Linked DNA regions of Mytilus edulis. The protein of the gene in region 2 binds, or shares a complex with, the protein of the main gene of each other region. Links are inferred from orthologs where the notes say so. Each region holds a gene or a part of one and is shown on either strand. Other genes may lie near its edges.

The links. Proteins that work in one complex are often made in the same cells at the same time.
Region 1: THO complex subunit 1-like (region 2) and chromatin target of PRMT1 protein-like share a complex: the UniProt entries of both Homo sapiens proteins name them as parts of the transcription/export (TREX) complex. The link is inferred for Mytilus edulis from reciprocal best matches to the Homo sapiens genes THOC1 and CHTOP.

What each region holds. Positions count from the first base shown.
Region 1 is NC_092354.1:21,885,713-21,893,553, reverse strand, and holds the start of chromatin target of PRMT1 protein-like, read right to left. Parts: upstream 3,004-7,841; 5' UTR 2,865-3,003; intron 1,373-2,864; 5' UTR 1,359-1,372; coding exon 1,300-1,358; intron 1-1,299. Other genes in the region: meiosis-specific nuclear structural protein 1-like, read left to right, coding at 3,413-3,415, 6,448-6,663, 7,360-7,487. UniProt on the Homo sapiens protein: Plays an important role in the ligand-dependent activation of estrogen receptor target genes. May play a role in the silencing of fetal globin genes.
Region 2 is NC_092344.1:105,009,077-105,017,078, forward strand, and holds the start of THO complex subunit 1-like, read left to right. Parts: upstream 1-4,976; 5' UTR 4,977-5,050; coding exon 5,051-5,101; intron 5,102-6,676; coding exon 6,677-6,750; intron 6,751-8,002. Other genes in the region: adenosine 3'-phospho 5'-phosphosulfate transporter 2-like, read right to left, coding at 1,676-1,916, 4,871-4,875. UniProt on the Homo sapiens protein: Component of the THO subcomplex of the TREX complex which is thought to couple mRNA transcription, processing and nuclear export, and which specifically associates with spliced mRNA and not with unspliced pre-mRNA.

The DNA of each region.
Region 1 (7,841 bases), on a different chromosome or scaffold from region 2:
TTATAGATTCTTGAACAACACAGTTTGACCTCCAAAACTGTGTCTCAGATTTTTCCTATTGTATTTCATTCTCTCATAAATCTACAATGAAATTTGCAACAATAATTCATAAGAGACCACTAAATTCAACTGGGTATAAAATTTGTTCTATTGATGTTTTTGGAAATCTGAGACACAGTTTTGGAGGTCAAGCTGTGTTGTAACAGAATCTGTTAAATAATTTGGGATGCTATGAAGAACAAAGACGCTAAATTCATTCAAGCGTGGACATCACAATATAGCAACTTATTACATAATAATTAATTATGTAATAATTATGTCATAATGAAATTATCACCATTTGAAAGATGAATCTTTCTTCTTTCTTTTGGTACCTCATTTATAATATATAAAGAAGGATTAAATGAATTACATCAGTTTAAAGTTATCCGATTGGGAGTGAACAAATCTTTGTATTGTGCTACCTTAATTAAACATAAGAAAAACAAATTCAAACTGAATTTCAGGAAAAGTCATTTGATTATTGCTTTCGACTATACTTTATATATATGAGTTTAAAATAGGAAATCGGATTTTTCTAACCATTATTACTTTAATATACGACATTAACTTTTAGCAAAAAAACATGCAAGAAAATATCTAAAGTGAAGCTTTTTCAAATCTAGAAAATCTAGTCTTGTACATTCATGCATAGAAAAGTTCAATATAGTAACTGGATTTTTGTTATTTTGCTATCCACATGATCCAATGGCACTGCTCGGTGCTTGTGGTTTACTATTGCTTTTCTCAAGACTTTTTGCCATGTATTGCAACTCTGTCTGTTTTGCCACTTGTCAAATTTCTGCCACTTGTCAAATTTCTGCCACTTGTCAAATTTCAGCCTCTTTGACACTAGTTGTTGTCCTTTTTCACCTGTGGCCAACAGGATATAACTAGTTACTTTAACCATACATGTAAAACATGTGTATTGTTAGACTAGCATGCAAGCATGCAATCTGATTCATTTAACATATTAAGTGGCAAAATCAGGTTTTGAGCCCAATTGCACATTTGTGCAGTGGCATTTTTTCATTTTGGCTTGCATAGCTTTTTGTTGTCATTCTCTTTTGCACTAGCCTTGAAAGAAGGCATCTAGCCACAGAGAAGACTTCTGGTCAATAGAAATGACCTTTGGTCAATAGAAATGACCTTTGGTCATTAGAGAAATGACTGATAGAGAGAAAAAATTCTCTCTAAATTTCTTTCCTTCCAACTTTTCCAGGCAATCTCTGCCAGGAACATGCTCCTCCTCCTTCTCACCTATCATTCAAAGACATCTTAGTGGTACTCTTCAGAACAATCTTAGCTGGAACCGCCATCTTTCTTTAATTATCTGAATAAACTGTTAAGGAAATTAGAAATGACTAGAAGTAAAACATATTTAATTCATACTTGTTTCAGGCAAAAATACAAAAAAATTATGTGTTTGTATATTTGACGCTAGTCGTAGACCTGCCATACATGTTTTTTTTTCATTCTGGTTCTTAAATGAATAGATTGATGCCCAATTTATATAATTCCAAGGCCGTCAGTTGGCATCAGAAGCGACGAAGCAGCGCATCTATTTTGGGTGGGCAAATACCCACTTTTTGATATGGGACGAGCTCTGACGTTGCACGGCCCAAGCTTGTCTGGCAAAACAGCCGTTGGACGTCAGAGTAATCTCGGACTAAAAATTTGTGAACAAAACACTAATTTGACTAAAACCAGTATTTAGATTGGTTGATTTTTGAGTCCAAGTTCTAGAAAGTTTTATGACAGCATAGGCTAGGCTTTTCTTTCATAACACTACTCAGTTTTTTGCCTTGGGAATATAAAATGTGTGCTGGAAACCCCAAATCCATTACTGTTTATTATTCAATCAATCTATGTATCTATTTCTGGAATCCGGGTCCGTTCGCCCTGATACCTGTTCGCCCAGGGTCCATTCGCCCAGATTTTTATTTTTTTCTATTTGTTGTCCAGTCGCATAATTTTAAGTATTTGAACAAAATATGTTAAAGTTTGTTAACAAATTGACAGAATATTTATATTGCCGCAATCATTTTATCATTTTCTCTTTGATTTACAGAGTAGAATTGGTATACATGATGTATTTCTCTTTATTGATATTTGTTAACAAAATAATTGTATTCAGTCAATCATGAATGTATGCAGTATAACTGAGACTAGGACTGTCTCCGAGTATAATAATGAACTTGTAAATCCGTTTCATGATTTACAGTTAGTACATCATTGTGTTTATTAATTTCAAGCTGAATATTTTATCAAAACAAAACGTTTGATTTTTATTAATAATCCATCAAAAGACAAGTATCACAATAATCAGTGATCCGAATTATTTTGTCATTGAACAATTAATGATCCTATACAAGCCATAAACTTTTAAATATTTCCCTGTTTCCATAAATTTCAAGAATATATACCATAGAAATATCTGAATAAGTTTTTTCAACTTCAATGCTCTGAATATCAATATTTTTTAGTAGGGCGAACGGACTCTCTGGGCGAACGAACCCAGGGCGAACGTACCCAGGGCGAACATGTTATTAGGGCGAACAATCCCGATACCCTATTTCTGCACGATAAATGTTTTATTGCCAATGTATCTCTTATGGGTTGATCAACTTCAAACAATTGGGAGTAGTTATAACCCTTTGTGGAGAAAAGGGAGACCGTTTAAAGCCCTATCGTAATTCGATAGGGTTGACAACTTGCACCGACAACTTTTGCCATCGGAGTCGGCTTATTTGATTTTCTTAGTCATGATCAACTTTGTAATCTGTAAAACATGAACCAAAATATGAATTTGTAGATAAGGATACATAATTTTTTGTTAAAATCTGCTAAAGTTTCGAATTGACTTCGATGAATTTGGATGATGATTCTGAATCTGCAAAACATAAAACGTCAACAACCCGATACCGGAAGTTCATAAAATATTAGAACTATTCGGCTCTAAATAATGATAAAAAAAATGTGAAATTGTTTTATTAGACTATTTATGTTCTTACTAAAATATGTTTTTTTAAACAGGAAAATGAAATATAAAATTTTAAAACTCAAAATTTTGGTAAACTGTGATACCGAAGAGAATAGACGAATCAACAAAATACCATAGGGGTGTTTTTAAATGTTCTCATTAGAATTGTTTGAATTTTTCAAAAACTAATAATTTCTGAGATAGATAATAACATTTAAATTTGTATTCGTCAAAATATCAATAAATTGTGTTATTTTGATTCGATTTAATCGCAAAAAATATATCAAAATATTGTGTCACACCAATCTAACTTACCCATAGCAACGGTTGTTTCTAGGCTCAACAACATTCAGTGTGCAGCTCTTGAAGAACTTTGAACATTCCAACAAAATGGTAAGAGTTTTGAAGAAGTCCGAGCAATAATTGAATAAATTTGACATTAGAAATATAGACTTACATCGTATCCTTTACATTTCAAATTGCTGGCACTTTCAAATTCATTATTTACTACCAAAGATAAAGTCAAAGTTGAAAGAATGCCACTCAAAAAGGGTCCATATACCATTATACTTTAGAGTTTTAGGCCAATAAGTGAAGGTTCATTCATGGTTATGGTTAGGTTATGGGATATTTTAGCTCCGGGTTAGGTTTATGGTTAGAGCTATGTGTACTATCCACAATAATATCCAGTTTAAAAATCATGACTTATTCAAACTGAGGTAGACAATGCATACATTATAAAAGTGCAAGGTCCAACGTTGCCTAACGATGATTTTATTCTTTTGTTGCATATTTGGCAACACATGTACAGTTTGTCAGACCTGTCATGAATAAAATTCAACTTATCACTTTTTGTTCGCCATTACAGGACACTGAATTTACTTTGTCTTTGTCATGTTTGTGCTGTCCAATATTTTCCTATGAAATTTTATGTGAACATCTGTGACCATGTCGTTGTTACTGTATATTGTGTGTAGTGTCTAAATTTTGTACAATGGCATGAAGTAAAAAAATAAACGTCTTGCTAGTTTGATAATGTACATGATGTATTGAAATCTAAATGACGTACAACAACTATACTGACGTTACAATTGAGCGGCGCACTAGCCTTTACTGTACATATAGTAAGCAGACTTCACAACACTGAATGACAAGAATAGTTCTACTGTTGGGGATCACAAATAAAGATACAATTCTGGTCTATTACAAATGTTTGCTCAGTCAAGTTTCCGTTAGAATTAGCTATGCGAAGGATTTATAAATGTTCAATATACATGCATATGCTATAATCGTGTTGCAAGGCACATTTTTATCATTCCTTTGCTGTATAAATGGTTTGAATTGTTATGATTGGTATTCACACCAGTGCTGTATTTACACCTTTCAGTCAAAAAAGTTTATGTTTTATGGTTTGTGATCTAGATACATATGGCGCCATTAGTGTAAAAAAAAAAGAGGCAATCTGAATCATAAAGTTTGATTTATTTCATAGCGATGTTTTTTTTCTTTGAATTGAAATAATTAAAAAGTCCTGTTTCTAACAAAGAATGTTTTTAAGACATAATTGTAACCATATACATGTACATGTGCATTACAGATTTAAAAGTTTAACAGTGTAAATAAAGGCAACAGTAGTATACTGCTGTTCAAAACTCATAAATCCATGGACAAAAAACAAAATCGGGGTAACAAACTAAAACCGAGGGAAACACATTAAATATAAGAGGAGAACAACGACATAACACTAAAATGTAACACACATAGACAAAATCCCACGAGAATAACAAATATAACATATATACAGGGTTTAAGCTAGGATTTTGAGGGCTTTAGTCACTTTTGCGCGCTATTAAAATCAACCTTATTTTGTGTATAAGCAATAGAACAATGATGTATAGTACTAGCTTCATCTTTTGACTTAGTCAGATTTTAAGGGATTGAGGCACCAGCATGATTGGCAGTTATTGTATGATTTGACTGTATTGGCTATTATTATGAAAGATTCTGACATGGAATCACAATTTCTCTTCAGTTTATTCCAGGGGTCATTCCTGAACAACAAAAGTTGGATTCTATTTTTTTTAAACAAGGAATCACAGCAGAAATCAATTTGCAATGATTATTTCACTGCATAATCATTATCCTTATAAAACATCTTAGTCGATATTTGGATATCATTTCTATCAAGATGGAAATGTATTATATCCTTTTTGGAACGATTATAATGACTGAAAGGAGGTTGTAAACAAATCAACAATAGATCACGTTTACTACTTTCGGTTTTAAAATGAAACGAAAACGGGAAGTGACACGTGGATAATAAATTCAAAACGAGTCCGGATTCATCAGGAAATTATTATTTTTCGATTTAAATTCCTTTAGTAAGAGATATATATTTGTCTCTCTCGTTTAATTGATTCTAAATGATTTCGTATTTTACGTTTTTAATGTCTATATAGTCAAAAGGATACTTTCACGCATGCGTAGAACACAATACAGGAAGCACCTGTTTAAAACATTTCTCGTGAACTTTTTGAATAAACACATGAAAGTTCTTTATTTTAAATGGAAATTGTTGAAAGTTTTTGATGAAAATTTAAATCAAATATGACGAAAATGCCTTCGAATGACGAATCTACGATAAACTAACTTCAGATTGTGATCGTTTGGGAAATATTGAAATTCAAATGCGAACTGTCCGGCATTGTTACATTTTTGATTAAATGACGAAATTATACTCCTGGTTGTTGAAATGCCGACTGACTGATTTTCCTGGGGAAATAATTATGATGGTCATTCAATTATGGGGTTAATTAATAAATTACGGATAAGTGACCCATCTGAGCGGATTAGTTGTAATCACACCTGTTGAAAATGTTAATTACCTGGAGGTCATAAACTTGTCAAAAACATGAAGACAGGTAGATTTATAGTTTTTATTGCGAATTTTTTTTTACACTTTCAAAATTAAAGTGACGAAATTGATTTGAAATACTTTCGTCAATGAGAAAACCCTTTCGTAAAATACGAAAGTGACGAGCGCTAGCAAAATCACTGCATATATATATATAACATCAAAACCAAATACATGAATTTGGGATAGACAAGTACCGTGACACGTCTTATCGCAATGTGAATTTACACACAAAGATAAGAGAAAACAAACGACACAACGTTATAATGTAATACACACAGAAACGAACTATAATATAACAATGGCCATATTCCTGACTTGGTACAAGGCATTTTTAAAGGAAAAATTGCATCACTTTGAAACAGAATAGAACTTATACGATGCAATATTTTTTGTTTTCTAATGTAATATGAAAAATAAATTGAGCCTGAACTCCTTAGTCATGTTAGTGTAATGCTATGATAAATCTTCATATTTTTTTTTTATTAAAAATCAATTGTTCATATTTCAGACAACTGTTCGGAGACTGACTGCTTCTGAGAGGGAACGGCAGTTACAGAACTACCGTAGGCATGAAGAAGTACGGGAAGACACCATCCGTCAGTTGGGCACCCAGAAGTTGTTGGAGGCAAATATGAGTAATGAAGAAAAACTCTCAGAGAAACGTTACATCAGACGAATGATGATGGAGCAGAAAGAGAGAGATATGGAGGACACAATTCTCAAGGTTTGTGCTAAACTTAGTTGTAATACCTTTTCATAAGAATAACTTTCATTACATTTACATGTTTCCTACAAAAAAAACTACATTTGAAAACAATTATTTAGTAACCTGTTGAAAGGGTTTTGATCGCACGATCTTTTTAACTCACAGACATTATTCATAACAACAAAAAAAGTAATATAAAATTACTTTATGCACATACACAATGTATATTTTATTGAAATGTCAATGCAACTGGTAAAAGCTACTAAGTCTAAAATATAGGGCAGACCATGGCTAGTGGTAAAAATTAAACAAAGCACATACTACATTGGAACCACAGATTATTGAATGATATGAGCAAATCAGTCTGCGCAATCCTGAAAACATTCCACCGTTGATATAAATCAAGAGTTAATATTGCTTTAGGAACAGGGCAAAAAAAGCTGTATTGGCCCATGGGCTCATACAGGACGTTCACTTCCAGTTTCAATTTTTTTACACCTTTAATATGTATTGTTACAAAAAATGTATGAACAAAAACATGTTTAATTTATTTTATATTTTAAAGTTATAGAATAAAAAGTTTTTAAGTCTTGAAAAGGAAATATTTTGATTTACTGACATTGTTTCATATCCATTGATTAATCATCAGAACGCAAAATTGGTAACCAAGAAAATAAAGGAATATACTGTATTTTATTTACATACACATTTTAGGCACAGAGAGATAGATTGATCAGAGAAGAACAAATGTTACAAGAAGAAAGATTGGCTCAGGAAATGGAGAAACACAAATTAGAAGGAATGAGAGATGAAAAAATGAGACAACAAATTAGGGAAACAAGGTACAAATAATTTACAGTGACTTTATAAGCTGTCAATATTCTAGATGTTGACTAAATATTCTTTGGTTGATTATTATACCATTTGGTCAATTATTTTCATTCTCAATTTTAAAGTTTTCATTTTTAATTTCCTGTCTTTCTCTTTGCTCTATTTCTTATATATCAGAAAATTCTTACCTTGCTGAGGCCAAATAAAAATATATGTGTGGTTCCAGTAACCCGACCAACCCTAGTTAAAACCCCCCGACCCAAGAACTTTTTTTTTTCATTTCTGAAAAATAAATTTTCAAACGATCAAATTTTGAGGATTGTGAATTAAAATAATTAAATTCATAGATTTCTGTCATCTGAATT
Region 2 (8,002 bases):
ATCACTGAATGGTAAAGATTATTTAAATTTATCAGTTGGTAGTAAAAAGTGTATATACATTGTATATTGTATATAACAAAGATTTAAGTTGATTCTGGACAAAGAAAGATAACTCCAATTAAAAAAAATTCTTGCTATTGCACAAATAGGATATTTCTTGCTTACTATTCTGGACAAAGAAAGATAACTCTATTTAAAAAAAAAATTGCTATTTCACAATATTGTGCAATTAGATATTTCTTGCCATTGCACAATACTGTGCAATTGAAAAGACTTGCTATTGCACAATACTTAATATAATAATTTTAGATCCTGATTTGGACCAACTTGAAAACTGGGCCCATAATCAAAAATCTAAGTACATGTTTAGATTCAGCATATCAAAGAGGCCCAAGAATTCAATTTTTGTTAAAATCAAACTTAGTTTAATTTTGGACCCTTTGGACTTTAATGTAGAATTTGAAATTTGAAAACAGGACCAAAAATGAAGAATCTACATACACAGTTAGATTTGGCATATAAAAGAACCCCAAGGATTCAATTTTTGATGAAATCAAACAAAGTTTAATTTTGGACCCTTTGGACCTTAATGTAGACCAATTTGAAAACTGGACCAAAAAAACTTCAATAATCAAGAATCTAAGTACATTTTTAGATTCAACATATCAAAGAACCCAACCGATTCATTTTTTGTCAAAATCAAACTAAGTTTAATTTTGGACCCTTTGGACCTTAATGTAGACCAATTTGAAAACGGGACCAAAAGTTGAGAATCTACATATACAGTTAGATTCGGCATATCAAAGAACCCCAATTATTCAATTTTGATGAAATCAAACAAAGTTTAATTTTGGACCCTTTGGGCCCCTTTTTCCTAAACTGTTGGGACCAAAACTCCCAAAATCAATACCAACCTTCCTTTTATGGTCATAAGCCTTGTGTTTAAATTTCATAGATTTGTATTTACTTATACTAACATTATAGTGCGAAAACCAAGAAAAATGCTTATTTGGGTCCCTTTTTGGCCCCTAATTCCTAATCTGTTGGGTCCTAAACTCCCAAAATAAATACCAACCTTCCTTTTGTGGTCATAAACATTGTGTTTAAATTTCATAGATTTCCATTTACTTAACCTAAGGTTATTGTGCAAAAACCAAGAAAAATGCTTATTTGGGCCCTTTATTGGCCCCTTATTATTCCTAAACTATTGAAACCAAAACTCCCAAAATCAATCCCAATCTTTCTTTTGTGGTCATAAACCTTGTGTCAAAATTTCATAGATTTCTATTAACTTAAACTAAAGTTATGGTGCGAAAACCAAGAAAATGCTTATTTGGGCCCTTTTTGGCCCCTTATTCCTAAAATATTGGGACCAAAACTCCCAAAATCAATACCAACCTTCCTTTTATGGTCATAAACCTTGTGTTAAAATTTCATAGATTTCTATTCACTTTTACTAAAGTTAGAGTGCGAAAACTAAAAGTATTCGGACGCCGGACGACGACGACGACGACGACGACGACGACGACGACGACGACGCAGACGCCAACGTGATAGCAATATACGACGAAAATTTTTTCAAAATTTGCAGTCGTATAAAAACCATCAAAGCACAATGATCATAAATATGGGTACATCATCAAAAAGGAATATTGTTATAATGTTTGTAACTTACTTGCATATAACCATATACCAAATAAAAAACAAACACTGCAGCTGTAAGCAGGATGAATTGCATAGTTGGCGATTGTCCTGATATATCAAAAAATCCAATCTTAAGTTCTGTTGTTTTCTTATTTGAGGATTCTGGCATAGGAACTATAGCAGATTTTTGAGACATTTCGTACAATGCAGAGTTACTTCCCTTTTGTCTCAGTAGTCCAACAGATAGTGGTGTGACTCGAGGAGTCACTGATCTAAAACAAATATAGCAAAAGTTATGTATTTTTTTGTATGATCAATCCATTTAGTCAGTGAAAACAAAATCAGAGCGAGTATTTAATTTTGTTCATGAATTTTGTTTACATACATCTACTTTACAAATACAAGCTCTAATACAATAGGAATTTTCCAAACACTTAAACAGCCGACTCCTAGCTCTAGTTAAAAACATTGAATCATTTCTTTACATTACATGTATATATTTAAATTATAATAACTGAAATATCATTTTGAACATCATTGATTTTTTACCATCTGTTTCTATATGGATAAAAATCAATATATAATTACCATACAATTAATTTTACAAATGTCCACAAATTTAATGACTGTATATCTTTCAATTAATGATATCTAAAATGGTTGTACGCATGCTGGTAAAAGATAGAATTTTCTTGATTCAAATTATTAAAAATCTTGAATCTTAGCCAGTGAAAAAAAATGACCATGATAACCTGAAAAACTTCAATCATGCATCAACTGATGTGATTCAACTATGACACACATATACAAGCTCCTAGGTTTTTTTTTAAAGGTGAACTCTCTCAAACCTACAAGTCACAAAAAGAAGTCTGTCATAAGAAAAAGAAACTTTGTAAATAAAAACATATCTGAATAAGAAAACATTATTCAATACATGTACACAAAATCATTCACCAGGTTATACATCTGGTGACAAAACTTCAAATAGTGGTCACACTCACAGTCTTCACAATAAATATTTTAATCAGCAGGCTCGTATCTCAATTTTTTGAGAATTTAGTTAGATTTTGTTGGCCTGTAGAGATGATTTTTACATGCTTGAAAGAAATTTTACAAGCCTGGACTGCCTGGACTGCCAGGCCTGTAGTGATGTGTGAAGATTCCAGTGGATCATCCATACCTTAAAGAATCAGGACATATGGCCTATCAATGACACATGTAAGAACATTCACTAAAGTTATATTAAAAATCAATTGTTCACAGAACAATTGGTGGTCTTTCCACATCAATTTTTCTAAATTATCAATAAGAAGCTACTTCTAGTTAACTCAAAGTTACTATTGGCATCCAAGCATAAAGATTTATTCATACTGATTCAATAAATACATGAAATATATGTTTCTATATATTTTTGCATGAAACAAGGGAGATAATTATCAACTTCTGGTTAAATATGTCACTTCCAGTCTCATAAGATAGCTTTATTCACACGGATTCCCAAAATATATAGTTTCTATATACTTTTGCCTGTAATAAGGGAGATATAAGGTACTGGTTTATTGAAGGTCACTTCTGATCTCAAATATTAGGTTTTTGTATGCTTATCTAAAAAAAAAGTTTTAAGGTACTTTTCAAAGGAATAAGTGCACAAATAGCTACTTACAATTTACTCAAGGTTACCTCCAGGTGATACTTTTCAAGGTTATATGTCACCCAACAGATTGTTAAAGACCGTATGGCTTTATCATGTACCAAGTTAGAGTAATAATCAATTCATCTTAAATTTAATAATTTCAGGGACAATAACTCATATAAGATGTCATTGGATTGTTTCAGACCAAATGAATCATATCTACATCACAATCAGGCCAACATTTTTCAATAGTTCTTGTATCTATATCTTAAAAGTGAGAGAGGAGATCATAAAACAAGGAAAAGTAAAAATTTAAAATATAACCTTGACCTCAATTTCATTTTTGTGCACAAGTGACCCAAAATCAATATTATAATACTAGAACACACCCGCGAAATCGCGGGCATATACAGCTTGTAAACTGTTGTAGGATGAATTTTTGTAAAATTTATTATGGTTGGAGAATTTCATATAAGGTATCAAAAGCCCTCTATCTTTTTTTCCAAAATCTGTTATGTGTTTCCTTTCTGTTAAATTCAATAATTTTCGTGTTTCTGGCATTATACCACAATTATTCTTCACCTTTGCTACAATGCATTTTTTTTTTTATAAAAGTCAAATTAAATTAAAAATTTGCACCGCTTCAAACATGAAATAAATGAAACTGCTTATAGATCATGCATTATTATTCTAATAAAATATGCTTGTAGGACAATCCATCAATGCTTTTCCTTTTGAGAGCCCTATTAACATGCCAATGGTAGGATTTGGATCTCATATAAATGACTAAGGCTCATTTGAGGGGTGGTCTGAGGGGCCCTGATCCCGAAGTCCCGGGCTTTTAAAAAAATGAAATCCTGAGGTGCGTATTTTAACGAAATTCATAAGCTGACATCCCGAAATTAAAAAAAAATAATATTCCAGAGTTTAAAAACACCCGATCCAAACGTCCAGAATAAGTCCAGCCTCCCTCTAATCTCTACCCTACTTTCATTTTGGCCAAATTACTACTTTCACTTTCAACAATAAACTTTTATGCCCCATTTATGGGAATTATGTTTTCATGTTCGTTGTCCGTCCGTCCTTCTGTCCCGCTTCAGGTTAAAGTTTTCACTTTCAACAATAAATTTTTATGCCCCATTTATGGGAATTATGTTTTCTAGTCCGTTTGTTAGTCCGTTTGTTCATCCGCTTGTTCGTTCGTCCGTCCGATCGTCTGTCCCGCTTCAGGTTAAAGTTTTTGTCGAGGTAATTTTTTATGAAGTTGAAGTCAAACCAACTCGAAACTTAGTAAAGATGTTCCCTATGATATGATCTTTCTAATTTTAATGCCAAATTAGAGATTTTACCGCATTTCATGGTCCACTAAACATAGTAAAGGATATTTTTTTAACAAATATTTAAATTACAAAAAAAATAATTTAAACAAACTTCGTCCCCATTCACAGGTAATGCCTGCCTCATATTCAGTTTAAAGCCTATGGTTGTGCCATTAGCCCTGCTATATATGGTCTTGTTCTTCTTTTTTTTAGATAGTCTAAGAATGGGGTGTTGGTTTGCAGGGCAAAGACAATCTATATAATATAAAATTACATCATTTTTGGTTGTCAAATGGAAGTTTTTAACGACCTTGACTGTCAAATATTCATTTCCACTTAAATAGTTAAGGTATGCACATTGCCAACCACTAGTCGGTGTTTCGTGGGCCAGCGAAACGTCAAAATATGACCGGAAGTGTGAAGTACGTCATCAAATATTGCGGAAAATTTCAAGATGGCAGCCTCCATCGGATTTAACTTTCTGGGATCTGTGGGAAAATTTACAGTAATTCCATCACTTTTAGATAACTTTTTCAAATTTTAAATTGAGCTTGAATTAAACCAACAAGACACTTATTTTTACATGTTCATTTAAATGAAAATTTGACAACAACAATTTCTTCAAACAATCCTACATATTTTTTTGGGAAACAAGACGTTTCGGCCATTGTCATTGAGCCGGTTCGGTCTTGGTCGTTTCGGCCATGTAATAAACGTAGTATAGACTAAAAGTTATACAAACATTGGTTCTATTTGTTTGTTTCTCTTTTATGTTGTCAGCAAATAGGAATTTGAGTGTTTTATCACTTATTTTTTAGAACATGAAAAATGGTGTATAAATAATTTTTCAGTAATACATAAATTTTTCTTGTTAAAATCTAAAACATTGTTACATACACGAGCGAATCATACAAGTTGAGATATATAAACTCCGTAAGATGGTGACAAGGGAATGTCACCATCTAAAAATGGATAATTAACGATAGGAAATGAGAAATCATCTCTTTTATCATAAATTTTAGTATTAAGCTTTTCATTAATGATATAGATATCAAGATCGAGGATTTTCGGTTTTAAAAGCTCTTCAGAGCTTATGTTTGTAATTGCTTGCTTATACCAACTCTAAATAAAGCTTTATGTCTTATGTCTTATGGCAGTGGTCATTGCTAGTATTAGCTTTATTAAGTAAGTTCAACAGGATAAATTTCTTTAGTATACATACTGAAGTCGTCATTATTGAGAGCCAAAATATCATCCAAATATCTAAAAGTATTATTAAATTTGTGTATCAGATGTTGTTTCGATGGGTCTTTGCTGATTTTTGTCATAAATTGTGACTCATAGCAATACAAAAACAGGTCCCCATTGGATTTACGATAACCTGACGATATAGGGAATCTCCAAAGAGATCTAATAAATCTAATAAAAATTGAAGGGCAGATATAATATCAAAGCATGTCCAATTGACATAGTTTTTTTTGTTTATTGCTACTAAAAAATGACCTAAAAGAGTGAACATATATAGTCACATTCTGACTTTTTAAATGTCCATTTAATTAGGGGTGTGAATTTTTTCATAATGAGAATGTGAGGCAATGTGGTATATAGGGTAGAAAAATCAAAACTTTGAACAGATTCAAAATCACCAATATAAGCATGCAATTTATCAAGTACTTCCAACGAGTTTTTGACACTCCAAAAGTAATTTATTCCACTATTTTCGAAGGCCTTATTTGAACAATTTATTATCAGGTTTTTGATTGTACCAAGTGTACTGGTAAGAAGAATAGATAATTAAATAGTGGAACAATGGCTTGTAGACGAATTAAATTTATATTTGTAAGGTGTTTTGTGTAGCTTCGGAAGCCAATACATAGTTGGGACTTTCATTGATTGTAAAGGGGTAGCTAAAAGTTAATGTTTGTTACAGATATTGTTTTCTGAAAATGGAGTCAGTTGGAATGTTGGTGAATTGGTAGTAGGTTACATCCAAAATAAAAGTAGCAGTCTTGTTTTCATATACATGCACATGTATGACTGTTGATTTTTTTTAAACTAAAAAACTTACTTATTATTTCAGAGTGCTTTGAGAGAATCTCTGTTGCAAAAGTCTAATGTGGAGTGCATTACAGTATACAAATCATACAATGGAAGGTGGGTATTAAAGAGACAGAAAAGAGTATATTGCTTATTTATTTGCTAAATCCATGTCCCAAAGAAAATAACATATTTATATAAATACGGTTAGTAGTATAACTAAGTATATATCCAGTATCATGAATATCTCTTTTACATGTATATGTTCCAGACCATATGTGTTTTTGGACCATCACATGAAATGCATGACAAACAGTTTGTTGCATCAAAGTCATACTATGGGAATGCTTCACTCGTTATGGCTCATTAATTCAAACAAACTTGACTACAAACCAAAATACTGTAACTTCTAAAACTATTAACTACTTTTCAGTTACACCCTGTGTATGCAGTTGTAATAAAATTTTCATTTTGATTTTCTCCTTTTTTGATGACAACTCAAAAGGGGCATACCTGAGGAAATATACAGTATCAAATGTTAATTTTACAACATTCATTGTGTTAATTAACCAGACCATATGTATATTGTTAGACCAAATGAGTACACAAATACCAGATCATGCATATGTATATAATTATTGTTAGACCAAATGAGTACACAAATACCAGATCATGCATATGTATATTGTCAGACCAAATGAGTACACAAATACCAGATCATGCATATGTATATTGTCAGACCAAATGAGTACACAAATACCAGATCATGCATATGTATATTGTCAGACCAAATGAGTACACAAATACCAGATCATGCATATGTATATTGTCTGACCCAATGAGTACACAAATACCAGATCATGCATATGTATATTGTCAGACCCAATGAGTACACAAATACCAGATCATGCATATGTATATTGTCAGACCCAATGAGTACACAAATACCAGATCATGCATATGTATATTGTCAGACCCAATGAGTACACAAATACCAGATCATGCATATGTATATTGTCAGACCAAATGAGTACACAAATACCAGATCATGCATATGTATATTGTCAGACCAAATGAGTACACAAATACCAGATCATGCATATGTATATTGTCAGACCAAATGAGTACACAAATACCAGATCATGCATATGTATATTGTCTGACCAAATGAGTACACAAATACCAGATCATGCATATGTATATTGTCTGACCAAATGAGTACACAAATACCAGATCATGCATATGTATATTGTCTGACCAAATGAGTTCACAAATACCAGATCATGCATATGTATATTGTCTGACCAAATGAGTACACAAATACCAGATCATGCATATGTATATTGTCTGACCAAATGAGTACACAAAT